4 linked regions of the Saccharomyces cerevisiae S288C genome follow. Changing the gene in region 1 together with any one later gene gives a genetic interaction. Each region holds a gene or a part of one and is shown on either strand. Other genes may lie near its edges. The genes, in order: YKR041W, COX23, WHI2 and PMP3.

Evidence for each region.
Region 2: mutations in YKR041W (region 1) and COX23 together harm fitness more than expected from each alone (negative genetic interaction), as found in Saccharomyces cerevisiae (2 studies listed by BioGRID).
Region 3: mutations in YKR041W (region 1) and WHI2 together harm fitness more than expected from each alone (negative genetic interaction), as found in Saccharomyces cerevisiae (2 studies listed by BioGRID).
Region 4: mutations in YKR041W (region 1) and PMP3 together harm fitness more than expected from each alone (negative genetic interaction), as found in Saccharomyces cerevisiae (2 studies listed by BioGRID).

What each region holds. Positions count from the first base shown.
Region 1 is NC_001143.9:516,557-519,450, forward strand, and holds YKR041W (uncharacterized protein), read left to right. Parts: upstream 1-1,641; coding exon 1,642-2,394; downstream 2,395-2,894. Other genes in the region: amino acid permease GAP1, read left to right, coding at 1-315.
Region 2 is NC_001140.6:339,772-342,725, forward strand, and holds COX23 (Cox23p), read left to right. Parts: upstream 1-1,893; coding exon 1,894-2,349; downstream 2,350-2,954. Other genes in the region: BZZ1 (Bzz1p), read left to right, coding at 1-213; ubiquitin-conjugating protein DMA1, read right to left, coding at 338-1,588; protein channel TOM71, read left to right, coding at 2,578-2,954. UniProt on the Saccharomyces cerevisiae protein: Required for the assembly of cytochrome c oxidase.
Region 3 is NC_001147.6:409,023-412,935, forward strand, and holds WHI2 (Whi2p), read left to right. Parts: upstream 1-1,847; coding exon 1,848-3,308; downstream 3,309-3,913. Other genes in the region: ubiquitin-binding protein CUE5, read left to right, coding at 1-638. UniProt on the Saccharomyces cerevisiae protein: Plays a role in the coordination of growth and proliferation. Required for entry into G0 phase under conditions of carbon limitation.
Region 4 is NC_001136.10:1,012,929-1,015,228, reverse strand, and holds PMP3 (Pmp3p), read left to right. Parts: upstream 1-1,585; coding exon 1,586-1,753; downstream 1,754-2,300. Other genes in the region: MTH1 (Mth1p), read left to right, coding at 1-828; triglyceride-associated lipolysis regulator TLD1, read right to left, coding at 2,270-2,300. UniProt on the Saccharomyces cerevisiae protein: Plays a role in the regulation of membrane potential. Could mediate a proton leak.

The sequences.
Region 1 (2,894 bases):
TCCTACTGGGGGTTATTTATGGTTATTATTATGTTCATTGCCCAATTCTACGTTGCTGTATTCCCCGTGGGAGATTCTCCAAGTGCGGAAGGTTTCTTCGAAGCTTATCTATCCTTCCCACTTGTTATGGTTATGTACATCGGACACAAGATCTATAAGAGGAATTGGAAGCTTTTCATCCCAGCAGAAAAGATGGACATTGATACGGGTAGAAGAGAAGTCGATTTAGATTTGTTGAAACAAGAAATTGCAGAAGAAAAGGCAATTATGGCCACAAAGCCAAGATGGTATAGAATCTGGAATTTCTGGTGTTAATGAATCGAACAACGACAAAAAAAGACTTTATTTTTTAGATAATCATAATAAATATATTTATTTTCTCGTCATTAATCTAAAGAAAAAAGGGAAATGTTTATAGTCAAAAATTGTATATTTCCGTGCACTAATAAGATAAATTATACTATGAAAGAAAGTAAGGTATTTCTATTTTTTTACTTTTTGTTATTTTATTTATGTTTTTCTAGGAAATGTAAAAATAAATCTTTTAGTAGACAGCGAGATGAAAACTAATCTGTGTGAGCTTCAATCAATCAATATGATTTCCCCGCATTTTGTTTGATATTTTAATTGATTCCGATTAAATCCGCTGGTAGCAGTTTTGTTTCAAACTAATTCAGCCTCCTTACTCCCCATTTCCTTATTGAACTTTGGGGATTCGGAGTTCCTTTTTTTTTCCGCCACTCCGATAACTAAACTTTGCAGTTTCACTGCTTGTTAAACATTTTCCTACTATAAATGACATTTAAAACGTAATTGAGACAAAAAAAGTTAAATCGTTATTAACTTTCACTGCGGCTCCGCTCTTTTCCTCATAAGGAAATCCCCTCTTATGATCTTGAGAAATGGGGGAATGTTGAGATAATTGTTGGGATTCCATTGTTGATAAAGGCTATAATATTAGGTATACAGAATATACTAGAAGTTCTCCTCAAGGATATAGGAATCCTCAAAATGGAATCTATATTTCTACATACTAATATTACGATTATTCCTCATTCCGTTTTATATGTTTCATTATCCTATTACATTATCAATCCTTGCACTTCAGCTTCCTCTAACTTCGATGACAGCTTCTCATAACTTATGTCATCATCTTAACACCGTATATGATAATATATTGATAATATAACTATTAGTTGATAGACGATAGTGGATTTTTATTCCAACAGATCTTGATATAAGCCCTGTCATTGATTGCAAATGCACAAATTCCGGAGATTGAACAGCCAACACAAAGATAGTATTTGGGACTTAGCGGGTTGAGAACGGTAATTATATCATGAATACTCCACTCCAAGCTTGTTTGATACATCACATTCTTGTAAAAATATATGATCCAATTCCTAGGACATCAGAAAATATATCTACTATGGGCGTGTGGCGTAGTCGGTAGCGCGCTCCCTTAGCATGGGAGAGGTCTCCGGTTCGATTCCGGACTCGTCCATTTTAAAATTTCTTTTTTTTTTTTTCTCTTTCCGTATGTAAGCTTTTTTCCTTTTTTTTTTTTTTTTTTTTTTTTTTTTCTTCACTACTTTTCAATGAAACTCTCTTCAAAAGACAGCATGCAGTAAAAGCGCCGATATGAGTGACGACGATTATATGAACAGCGATGACGACAACGACGCCGAAAAAAGATACGTAAGGCCAATTTTCGTCAGAAAGCGCAGGAGAGAAGAAGACTACGTTGCAACTAGCAAAGACAACATCCACCACCACCCATGCGATTGGTCCGCGAAACCATCGCAACGTCAAAACGAAAATGAGCAAAAAAGCACCATACGGCTTGTACCAGTGGCGATGAATACGCCGAAGTGTCAAGAGAAAAAAAAGAAAAGAAAGGGCGTTGGTACAACTAGTCATGAGGCTACGCTTTTCGAGTACGGTGAAAGCATAGCAGGCTACAAGTGTGTTACAACCGAGAGCGAAAGAGACCGCTTGAAACGAAGTCATGAAAGCGAAAGCAGCAGTGAAAGCGAGGTAGACGTTTTCGCCTTTGACCAGGCAAAAGGTATCAGCTCTAAGGTTGAAGCCGAAGAACGCTACGCGCGGGCCGTTCGACAGTATTGGCGCATGACCAAAGACGAGCCGGCTACCTTACCACTGCCAGGCACACCTACCCTAGCGGCTGTGAGTTTAGATATGATTGATGACAAAAGCGTAGAACAATTTTACACAATGAGCAGTGCCTTGATGGATGCAAACAGACTAGACTTGATTCGCCGCGATAGAATCCGGTGGCACCCGGACAAACATCGTTATCATAAGTCCAAAGTCACAAAACTGTTTCAGGCCATTAACGGCCTGTGGGAGCAAGAAAAGACCGAGAAAAGGTAATGAAAAAGTGGAACTAGACCCCACGTCAGCGGGCCTAGGCCCTTCAATGTGTTAGAATACACAGCGTGCCTAGTTCCTGGTGCCTGGATCTCGAGGCCGCGGCACTGGAAAAGCCCTTTCTTTTCCAGATCGGGAAACCTAATGAGTCCATAAAAAGAAATGTAGAGGTGGTGTTGACGTTTTGCCGCTTTTGGGCAAGTAGGTCTTTCTGCACGGCCCGGCCCGGGTCGTGCGGAAAAAGAAAAAAGCAGACAAAACAAAATTTTTCCTTTTTTTCGCCTTTGTTTCTCCTGATTCGGGTATATAAGTGAATACCATCTAATGTGTTTCCTTCTCGAGACCTCGGCGTCTCCCAGATCAAAGCTCAGCAAAGATTTTAAACCGCAATTTACGCTCCTTTCATCGGTAACTAAGAAGAAAAAAAAAAAAGTACGACCACACAATTTCCAGTGTATTCATTCCTTAAACTTCGTTTATTTTTTATTCATTCATTCATTTTT
Region 2 (2,954 bases), on another chromosome or scaffold:
GGCCCTGCACCAGAAGTACCACCACCAAGAAGGAGTACACTACCTGTTAGGACGATGGAGGCCATATATGCCTACGAAGCACAGGGAGATGATGAGATTTCAATTGATCCGGGGGACATAATTACTGTTATCAGAGGCGATGACGGTAGCGGGTGGACATATGGTGAATGTGACGGATTGAAAGGTCTATTTCCTACAAGTTACTGTAAATGAACGAAGGAATGAACTGAAACTATTAAATATTTTCCCTGGCCGCCACTTTTTTGAGAGGTATGACGACTCTATGTTATATATATATATATATATATATATATATATAGCACAAAATTTCATGTGATCAATCTACTAGGCGAACACCTAAATTGTTATTTATTTCCATGTCTATATCCATTTCAATGTCTGGCTCATCTTCGTCCTCGTTTTCGAATTCGGATTCAGATTCGGATTCCAAGGTAGTCTCCAAATCACAGTTTGTCCTACAGTTCGGACACATGAATTGAGGATAATTCATAATAACCAATCTTCTTACACAATGAAAATGCCAACTATGGGCACATGGTGATATAAAAATGGCTTGGCAAGGTTTTATTTTGTTTAGACAAATGGAACAGTCTTCTTGTTCTAAACCAGTAGTTAGTTTCTGTAGATTTTTTATTCGGCTCAAGGCTTCTTTATTAAATGCATTGGCCTTTAATTTCCAAGACTTGTTCAATTCTATTTTCATCTTAACACAACGATATATCTCTTCCGTCCCGCCGCGAAAGTCCATACCCAGCTGTATGATATCTCCGTCATGTAAAAGGTAGTCCTTAGAAGTGGTAGACGCAGAAGATAGACGCTGGTGGTTCAAAAAGGTCCCACTGGAAGACTTGACATCTTTCAAAAACCAGTTTCCTTGGTCATCAACTTTGAAACACCCATGGGTCCTGGATATCACTTTTGATTTGAACACTACGGGATGATACTGATCTGGAATTTTGGAAATTGCCTCTCTTACTCTTTCGGTGTATCTTCCGATGATAATTTGCGAGCCTGCGCCCGCAGTCCTGATAATGGGGTCAAAGAAAAGACCCTGGTTAGCCACAGACGTGGATGAAGTATCTATAAACGGGGTTAGCCTAATGCTGAAAAGCCCGTGCTTGTCCATTCTGCGTTTCAAAGTAGATTGGTCTATCCGTTCCGGTAGCGAGGTATTTGGTGGGAGATGTATATCAAGTGAAAACTCCGTCTGATTGACTTGGTTTGGAGGATATATGAAATGGCGGATACTCTTTGTAGTGTTCACCGCGGGGGCTGTATTCGTCTCCACAGTGGCAGCAGCAGCAGCAGTAGCACCAACATTGCCGTTTGCGCTACCGTTATTTGCAACGACTAAAGAAGTAGCCGTACGCGAGGGCAAAATACCTAAACCATTGCTAACGCTATTATTATTGCTGTTATTGTTAGGCGTATCGTTAATGGTGAGAGAGATGGATATCGGTAGTCTGATGGGATTGTTGAACTTGGTGTGATCGTGAGAGGTAGCGATGCCAGAAGCAGCAGGTGGCGTCTGGTTTGGGGGAGATGAGGGAACAGTATTAGTAGACATCCAGGAATAACCACTATACAGAACGTATGTGCACAGGAAATCGACACTGTAAGAAGAAAAGCTCACGGCACAAGAGTCAGAAACAGGGCAGTGAACAAAGAACGAGAAGTACGGTTTACAGTTGAGCCGTACACCGAGTTCCTCTTTGAATAATATCGAACCTATACACTAATGCACTAATGTGTTTCTGTTCACACCCAGAATTCTAAGGCTCCTGCTGATCCCAATGCTAAGGTTTATCAATTTTCTCATTCTCTTTGTGGGCCGTAAACAGTGATATTCTCTCACGAGAGCGCTTAAAGAGAATGGAGAAGCCCAGCCCCACCAGGCGGCAAACTAGTAGTCTCTCCACTATCTCCAACGGTATGACCATGACCAACGATAATAGGGATACCACAAATACCAACAGTGGCTCTACAAGCAGCAACAATTCACAACCATCTTCGTCTTCCACGCCACCAGCGGCCAGTGGACCCGTAACGGACAGAACCAAAGTCAACTATGTACCAAAGAGCGACGATCCGTCGTCATTTCAATACTACCCAGACGACCCGGAGAACCCGGTCAATAAGTATAAATTCGCGTTAAAGGCTGACAGTCAGTACTATGATCCTTGTGAGGAGTCCTCCAAGCTCAGTTTTCAGTGCCTCGAGCGCAACGATTACGACCGATCCAAGTGCCAAGAATATTTTGACGCATACCGCGAATGCAAGAAACAATGGCTGACAGCCAGGAGGAAAAACAGACAGCAGTGGGAATGAGGCAGCCTTTTCTTCTTGTTTGTTCAGCTGTGATCTGTTTTCTATATAGATCGCCACTACGCGACGTAGTGTTCCGACAGGCAGCCACAGCACACTCTAGTGCAATGTGAAAAACTAATTCGCAATGGTATGTAAATAAGCAAGCTAAATTGGATTTTCAAAGTGCGAATAAAGAATTTTTTGTATATATCTCTACATACTTGTATATACCGAACATAAGAAGCTCTTATGGCCGAAAACTCCCTCCTGAGGTTTATCACCAAGAACAAAGTGGCCATCCTAGCAACGGTCTCTGCGGGGACTGCTGCTGTGGGTGCTTATGTTTACTACCAGCAAATTAAGCAGCAGCAACAGCAGCAATTGAAGGGTACAAAAGACAACCGACGTCAAAGTGAGGCCTTTGCTGGTCAAAATGAAGACGAGGCGGACTTAAAGGACGACGGCAGCGTCGTAAGTGGAAGTAATAAGAGGAAGAAGAAGAAGAATAAACGCAAGAGGAACAATAAGGCAAAATCGGGAGAAGGGTTTGACTATCCCTCCTTGCCCAATGGCGAGCCTGATATTGCCCAATTGAAAGGCCTATCACCCTCCCAGAGACAAGCGTA
Region 3 (3,913 bases), on another chromosome or scaffold:
TGCATGAACAGCGCAGAAGACGTCATAATCCGAACGAAAGGGAGCAACATCACGAAGACAGTGAGGAAGAAGATTCGTGGTCGCAATTTGTAGAAAAGGACCTGCCAGAGCTTACGGACAGAGCCGGTCGGTCATTACAGGACACAGCAAACAAAGTTAGTAACTGGATAAGTGATGCTTACCGGAGAAACTTTGCGTCAGGTAATGAGCAAAACGACAACCAACATGGTCACCAAGATCAGCAAGAATGGGAGCCAGAGATTGTGGATTTGTCACAAGGCGGGAAAAATTCAAGACCCCAGCAACCTGAGAGAAGAAGATTCAATTCGTTTGGCGTTCAAGTCGGTGATGACTCTTTAGAAAGCCACGGAATCACACTACACAACGAAGATGGATTTGAAGATGATGAAGATGTGCCACCTCAGTTACCAACGAGAACAAAATCTGGTGAGTCGACTGGAAAAGTAGTGGCAGAGACAACCTACATTGATACTCCAGATACAGAAACGAAGAAGAAATGGCAGCCGCTACCACCGGAACCCCTGGATACTACACCAACTAAAGTAAACGCTGTTTCTAGAAATAAGAAAAATCCGGATGAGGATGAATTCTTAATCAATAGTGACGACGAGATGTAAAGCTGATATCTACGTACATGTGTATACGTGCCAATATTTGGACGCATCTTATTTTACGCGCTTGTGAAGAACTCACTACCTTCTTGAAGGAAGTAAGAAAAAATTTTCAGAATTGTTGATAGTCGTATATCTTCCATTATAACTATTGTTAGCTATTAATTCAGATAATGTAGATAAGATTGAAAACATAAATTCATCATAAAAAAGAATAGGTCTTTTACGGCACCCGTTCAGACACTTTGACACTTCAAAGTATATGCATCAGCACACTTCTGACCATTCTACGTATTGTAACAGCAACATGAGTTCTTTAAAACTCCAATTGACATTTTCGTAATGTGTTTTGCATATCATCTAAATTTCAATGACAGATTTAAAAAGTCAAGTAATTAAAAATTTTCATAAGCGTGCTTTTTTATAGTGCGAAGAACGGCAAAGGCAACCTTAAGAAAAAAAAATGATAGGTTACGTGCTATATCCGGAAAATAAAGAAAGATGAGTAAGAGTTAAAGAAAGAATTCAACCAACCTGATGGGTGTATGAAAATCCCGATTTTATATCGACAGCGCTAGCATGCATGAACAGTGTTTTGACGGTCAAGAAAAAACATAACCTCTGCATAATGTACTTACTTATCAAAACGTTGCAAATCTTGTATGTAAGAGGTGTTTGGGTGTTTTTTCCAAACGACCCGAAGGAGGGCAATTCAAAATAAAAAAAGCAAATTTTATCAGGAAGAGAAGATTTTAGTCAGAACGGGCCATGTTCAATGGCCAATTTCTTATGCTCTAGAGTAATAATTACTAAGGAGGAAAGTAAGACAAAAAACGGTCTATCGTTGTTTTAAGTTTACAGCATAGGCATAGTGATAGAGTGTGAGAGAGTCTCTAACTCGGCGTCAGTTTAGAGTCATTTTTTTCTTTTCTCCCCCCAAAGGTCATAAGAAGATAAGGATCCAAATTTAGAAGACAAAAAAAGTTTTGTTAGAACGTTTATCCCATTAAAAATAAGGGAAAAGAGAAACAACGTTATTTAGTGATTTTTTTAATTGAGAAGCATTTTCTCCAGTGATAATTTAATTGTTTTTTTATTCGGAAAAGAACAGAAAGCGCAAGAAGACAACTCCTTCACACTTAGGCTATTAATTTTCCCGCCTCCCCATTAATTGATAAAGATAAAGGTTGTCTGAGCTTACACTTATTATAAACAATGGACGATATAATCACGCAAGTTTCTCCAGATAATGCAGAGTCCGCTCCGATTCTACAAGAACAGCAACAGCAACAGAACTCACAGTACGAAGGTAACGAGGAGGATTATGGTGATTCATTGATTCATTTGAATATTCAAGAAAACCATTATTTCATTACGAGGGACCAGTTGATGTCTCTACCTGAATCCCTATTACTGTGTTTATTTCCCTCAGGTGTTTTTTTGGACCGTTGTGGTCAGGTCATTACTAATTTGACCAGAGACGATGAGGTCTACATTGTTAATTTCCCTCCTGATTGTTTTGAGTACATCATGGAGATATATACAAAAGCGCATGATGATTTGTATAATCATCCTGTGGAGAAATTTTTTGACAGACCATCAAGTAGCTTTGTTTCGAATGCAAAGGGATTTTTTGGACTGAGTAGCAATAATTCAATTTCGAGCAACAATGAGCAGGATATTTTACATCAAAAGCCCGCTATTATTGTTTTGAGAGAAGACTTGGATTATTATTGTGTACCTCAGGAGGAATTTCAGTTTGATTCCACTAATGAAGAAAATAATGAGGATTTATTGCGACATTTTATGGCTCAAGTGAAAATGGCTGCTGGCAGTTATTTAACTTCAAAAACATCGATTTTCCAAGGTTTGTATTCTTCGAATAGACTAAAGCAACAACAGCAACAACAGAAAATTGAAAAGGGGTCCAATTCTTCTTCAAATACTAAATCTACTTCGAAAAAATTGGGACCTGCTGAACAACATTTAATGGATATGTTGTGCTCCTCCGGATTCACCAAGGAAACTTGTTGGGGTAACAGAACTCAAGAAACTGGCAAAACGGTTATAAGTTCACTGTCTCTTTGCCGATTGGCTAACGAGACAACTGAAGGATTTAGGCAAAAATTTAACGAGGCTAAGGCTAAGTGGGAGGCAGAGCACAAACCTTCTCAAGACAACTTCATCACCCCAATGCAATCTAACATATCGATTAACTCTTTATCTGCAAGTAAATCTAACAGTACCATTTCTACAGCAAGGAATTTAACAAGCGGAAGTACAGCACCTGCTACAGCACGTGATAAGAGAAAATCAAGGCTGTCGAAACTAGCAGATAACGTTCGTTCGCACTCTTCCTCGAGACATAGTTCGCAGACCAGAAGTAAACCTCCGGAGTTGCCCAAATTGTATGATCTAGTGCCAAAACCTAATATCAACGCTAAGCTACTATTATTTTGGAGAAAACCTGCTCGTAAATGTTGGTGGGGTGAAGAAGACATAGAGCTAGAAGTGGAAGTCTTCGGCTCTTGGAAAGATGAATCAAAGAAAATCATTGAATTGATCTTGCCAACAAACGTTGATCCTGAAGCAGAACTACATAAAATCATTGTACCCGTCCGATTACATATTCGTAGAGTTTGGACTTTAGAGTTGAGCGTTATTGGGGTGCAGTGAGTGTATATAATATATTAGAGAAAGAAATGGAAAGAGATCGGGCCAAAGACACAATATGTAACAGTATGGTTTCTTGGTATCCCCTCTTTCTATTCCTCCCTTGTTACGAAATGATGTATATTTGTATCTCTATAACAAAATTATATGAACTGTCTCAAAGCACATGAAGAAGGAAAAAAGGTGGCGTCGAAGACTGCTAGATATTTCTCTTCGTATCTTCCCATCCCCTTCTGCAAATAACGGTTTTTCCATTGTCTATTTCAAAGTTACCCGCATAATAAAGTCGTACATTGTTCGAAAAATATCACTCAAAAGCAGCATTGATCCGGTATAAAACAATAGAAATTTTTTTTTTTTTTTATTGTTATAATTATTCTGACTCACGTCTGGATTTCGTTAGTTCGTCATTTTTTCTTAATTTCAGTAAACTGTGATCACGAGTCTGCAACATCATTATACACCGTATATCTGTATTATTAAGAATCAGGGTCTCCTTTTAATTTGCTGTTGAAAAACATCTTAAGGGAGTGTGATTGTCTGTTGATGTATACTAGTCTGGTAAAGCTAAATATTCTTATAAAAAACTTTTGGTAACCCATTATTAC
Region 4 (2,300 bases), on another chromosome or scaffold:
AGAGTGAGCCTGGATGAAGCATTACCCAAAACGTTTTATGACATGTATTCGCCAGATATTCTATTAGCAGACCCATCCAACATTCTCTGTAACGGGCGTCCCAAGTTTACCAAGAGAGAGTTATTGGATTGGGATTTAAACGATATAAGATCGTTATTGATAGTCGAGAAGTTAAGGCCCGAATGGGGTAATCAACTACCGGAAGTAATAACGGTGGGTGATAATATGCCCCAGTTTAGGTTACAATTATTACCACTATATTCTAGCGATGAGACCATAATCGCAACGTTAGTCCATTCGGATCTGTACATGGAGGCTAACTTAGATTATGAATTCAAACTAACCAGCGCCAAATATACAGTAGCGACCGCTAGAAAAAGACATGAGCATATAACTGGTAGAAATGAAGCCGTCATGAATTTGTCGAAACCGGAATGGAGAAATATCATCGAAAATTACCTCTTAAATATAGCAGTAGAGGCACAATGCAGGTTTGATTTCAAACAAAGATGCTCCGAATATAAGAAATGGAAGTTACAACAGTCCAACTTAAAAAGACCGGACATGCCCCCACCAAGCATAATACCGCGGAAAAACAGCACAGAAACAAAATCGCTTCTGAAAAAGGCTTTATTGAAGAACATTCAGTTGAAAAACCCCAATAATAACCTTGATGAATTGATGATGAGATCAAGCGCCGCAACAAATCAACAGGGAAAAAACAAAGTCAGCTTATCTAAAGAAGAAAAGGCTACGATATGGTCGCAATGTCAGGCACAAGTTTACCAAAGATTAGGATTGGATTGGCAGCCGGATTCAGTATCCTGAAGATACTAAAAAGAAACCTTCCCGATGGTTTTTTTGGAGACTCTTCGATTGTATCAATACTATCCCATGGACATCAGTTTTAATAGAGGAGCTCCAAATTCCCAAGGAATTGAGGAAGAAGCGCCAATGATTTATATATACAAACTAGCTGTTGCAGCTTTATAGAGATTTAGTAATAAGAATTTTATGGGAACGTGGTACCGTTATCGCAGTAAAGAGTCAAGGGTAGCGAAGATCAAACCATACGATGACGAAATACCTTTAGTTCTTAGCATCACCAATCGCAGACATCCAACGTATCCGTGCGCGTAATCCTTCTCTTGGTAGTTGAGCACAGCATACAGAAGAAGCCGCGCGCAAGCGGTAAATGTCTTTCCTCCGGCCTTCTAACCACCAAAACCGATCTCGGAACATGGGGGGGGGAAGGTCCTCTGAATCGAAAAACCCGAGACAGCGAGAGGGATTTTGCAGAAAATTACAAAGATCACTATTTACTGCTCCCCTCACTTCCGCAGTCCCCTAATAGCGGAAGATGCAATGGGTGTGGGCTCTGGGTGCCCTTTAACCACGCCCTCAAAAGGGGGTCCTGGTTATTTTGCGATGGGCGCCTCTATAAATACAAAAGAGGAAGTGAGTGTTTTTGTTTTGGAAGAGGGAAAGGAAAAAAAGAAGAAAATTTACTATCGGTTGTTGTTTTTCGCCAGTATAATACAATTGATTATACATTTTGAACTAAACAGCACAGCACAATACAACAATGGATTCTGCCAAGATCATTAACATTATATTATCCCTTTTCTTACCACCAGTCGCCGTTTTTCTAGCCCGTGGGTGGGGTACTGACTGTATAGTGGATATCATTTTGACCATTTTGGCTTGGTTCCCAGGTATGCTATATGCCTTGTACATTGTCCTACAAGATTAAGCTCATTCAATAAACGAAAGTAACTATCAAATGAAATAAGGAAGCAGTATTAGGAAACGGTATCAACATGTTCGGGTCACCCTCATTTTTATTTGTTTCCTTTCTTTTTTTTTGTTTCTCTTTCTCTTAAGGTTTCCTCCCCCGCTGTTAATTTTAACTACGTGTGTATTTTTTAATAATTAATTTTATCACAAAAAAAACTTCTCATCTTTTTTGCCTTTTATCATTTTTGTACTTTTTTCTTCGCTTAAAATACACATGATATAGACGCTTAACTATCTGTCCTGCAAGTTTGTTTATCTATATAAATATAGCCAGTATCATCCGTTTACCTGTGTTGTAGAGTTCCAAAAGATAGAACAGCCTTTTATCAGATGGGTGGCAGACCCTTACCCATATTATCTCTCTTATTTTGTTTTTATTTCTCTCTAGCCTTATAATTATTTTTAGTTTCCTTTCTGTAGCAATAAGTGTTCTTAGCAGTGGCGTTGCGTTGCCTTGACCTTGATTATCAATTTAAGCAGCTTTCTGCTCACAAGCCACTTCA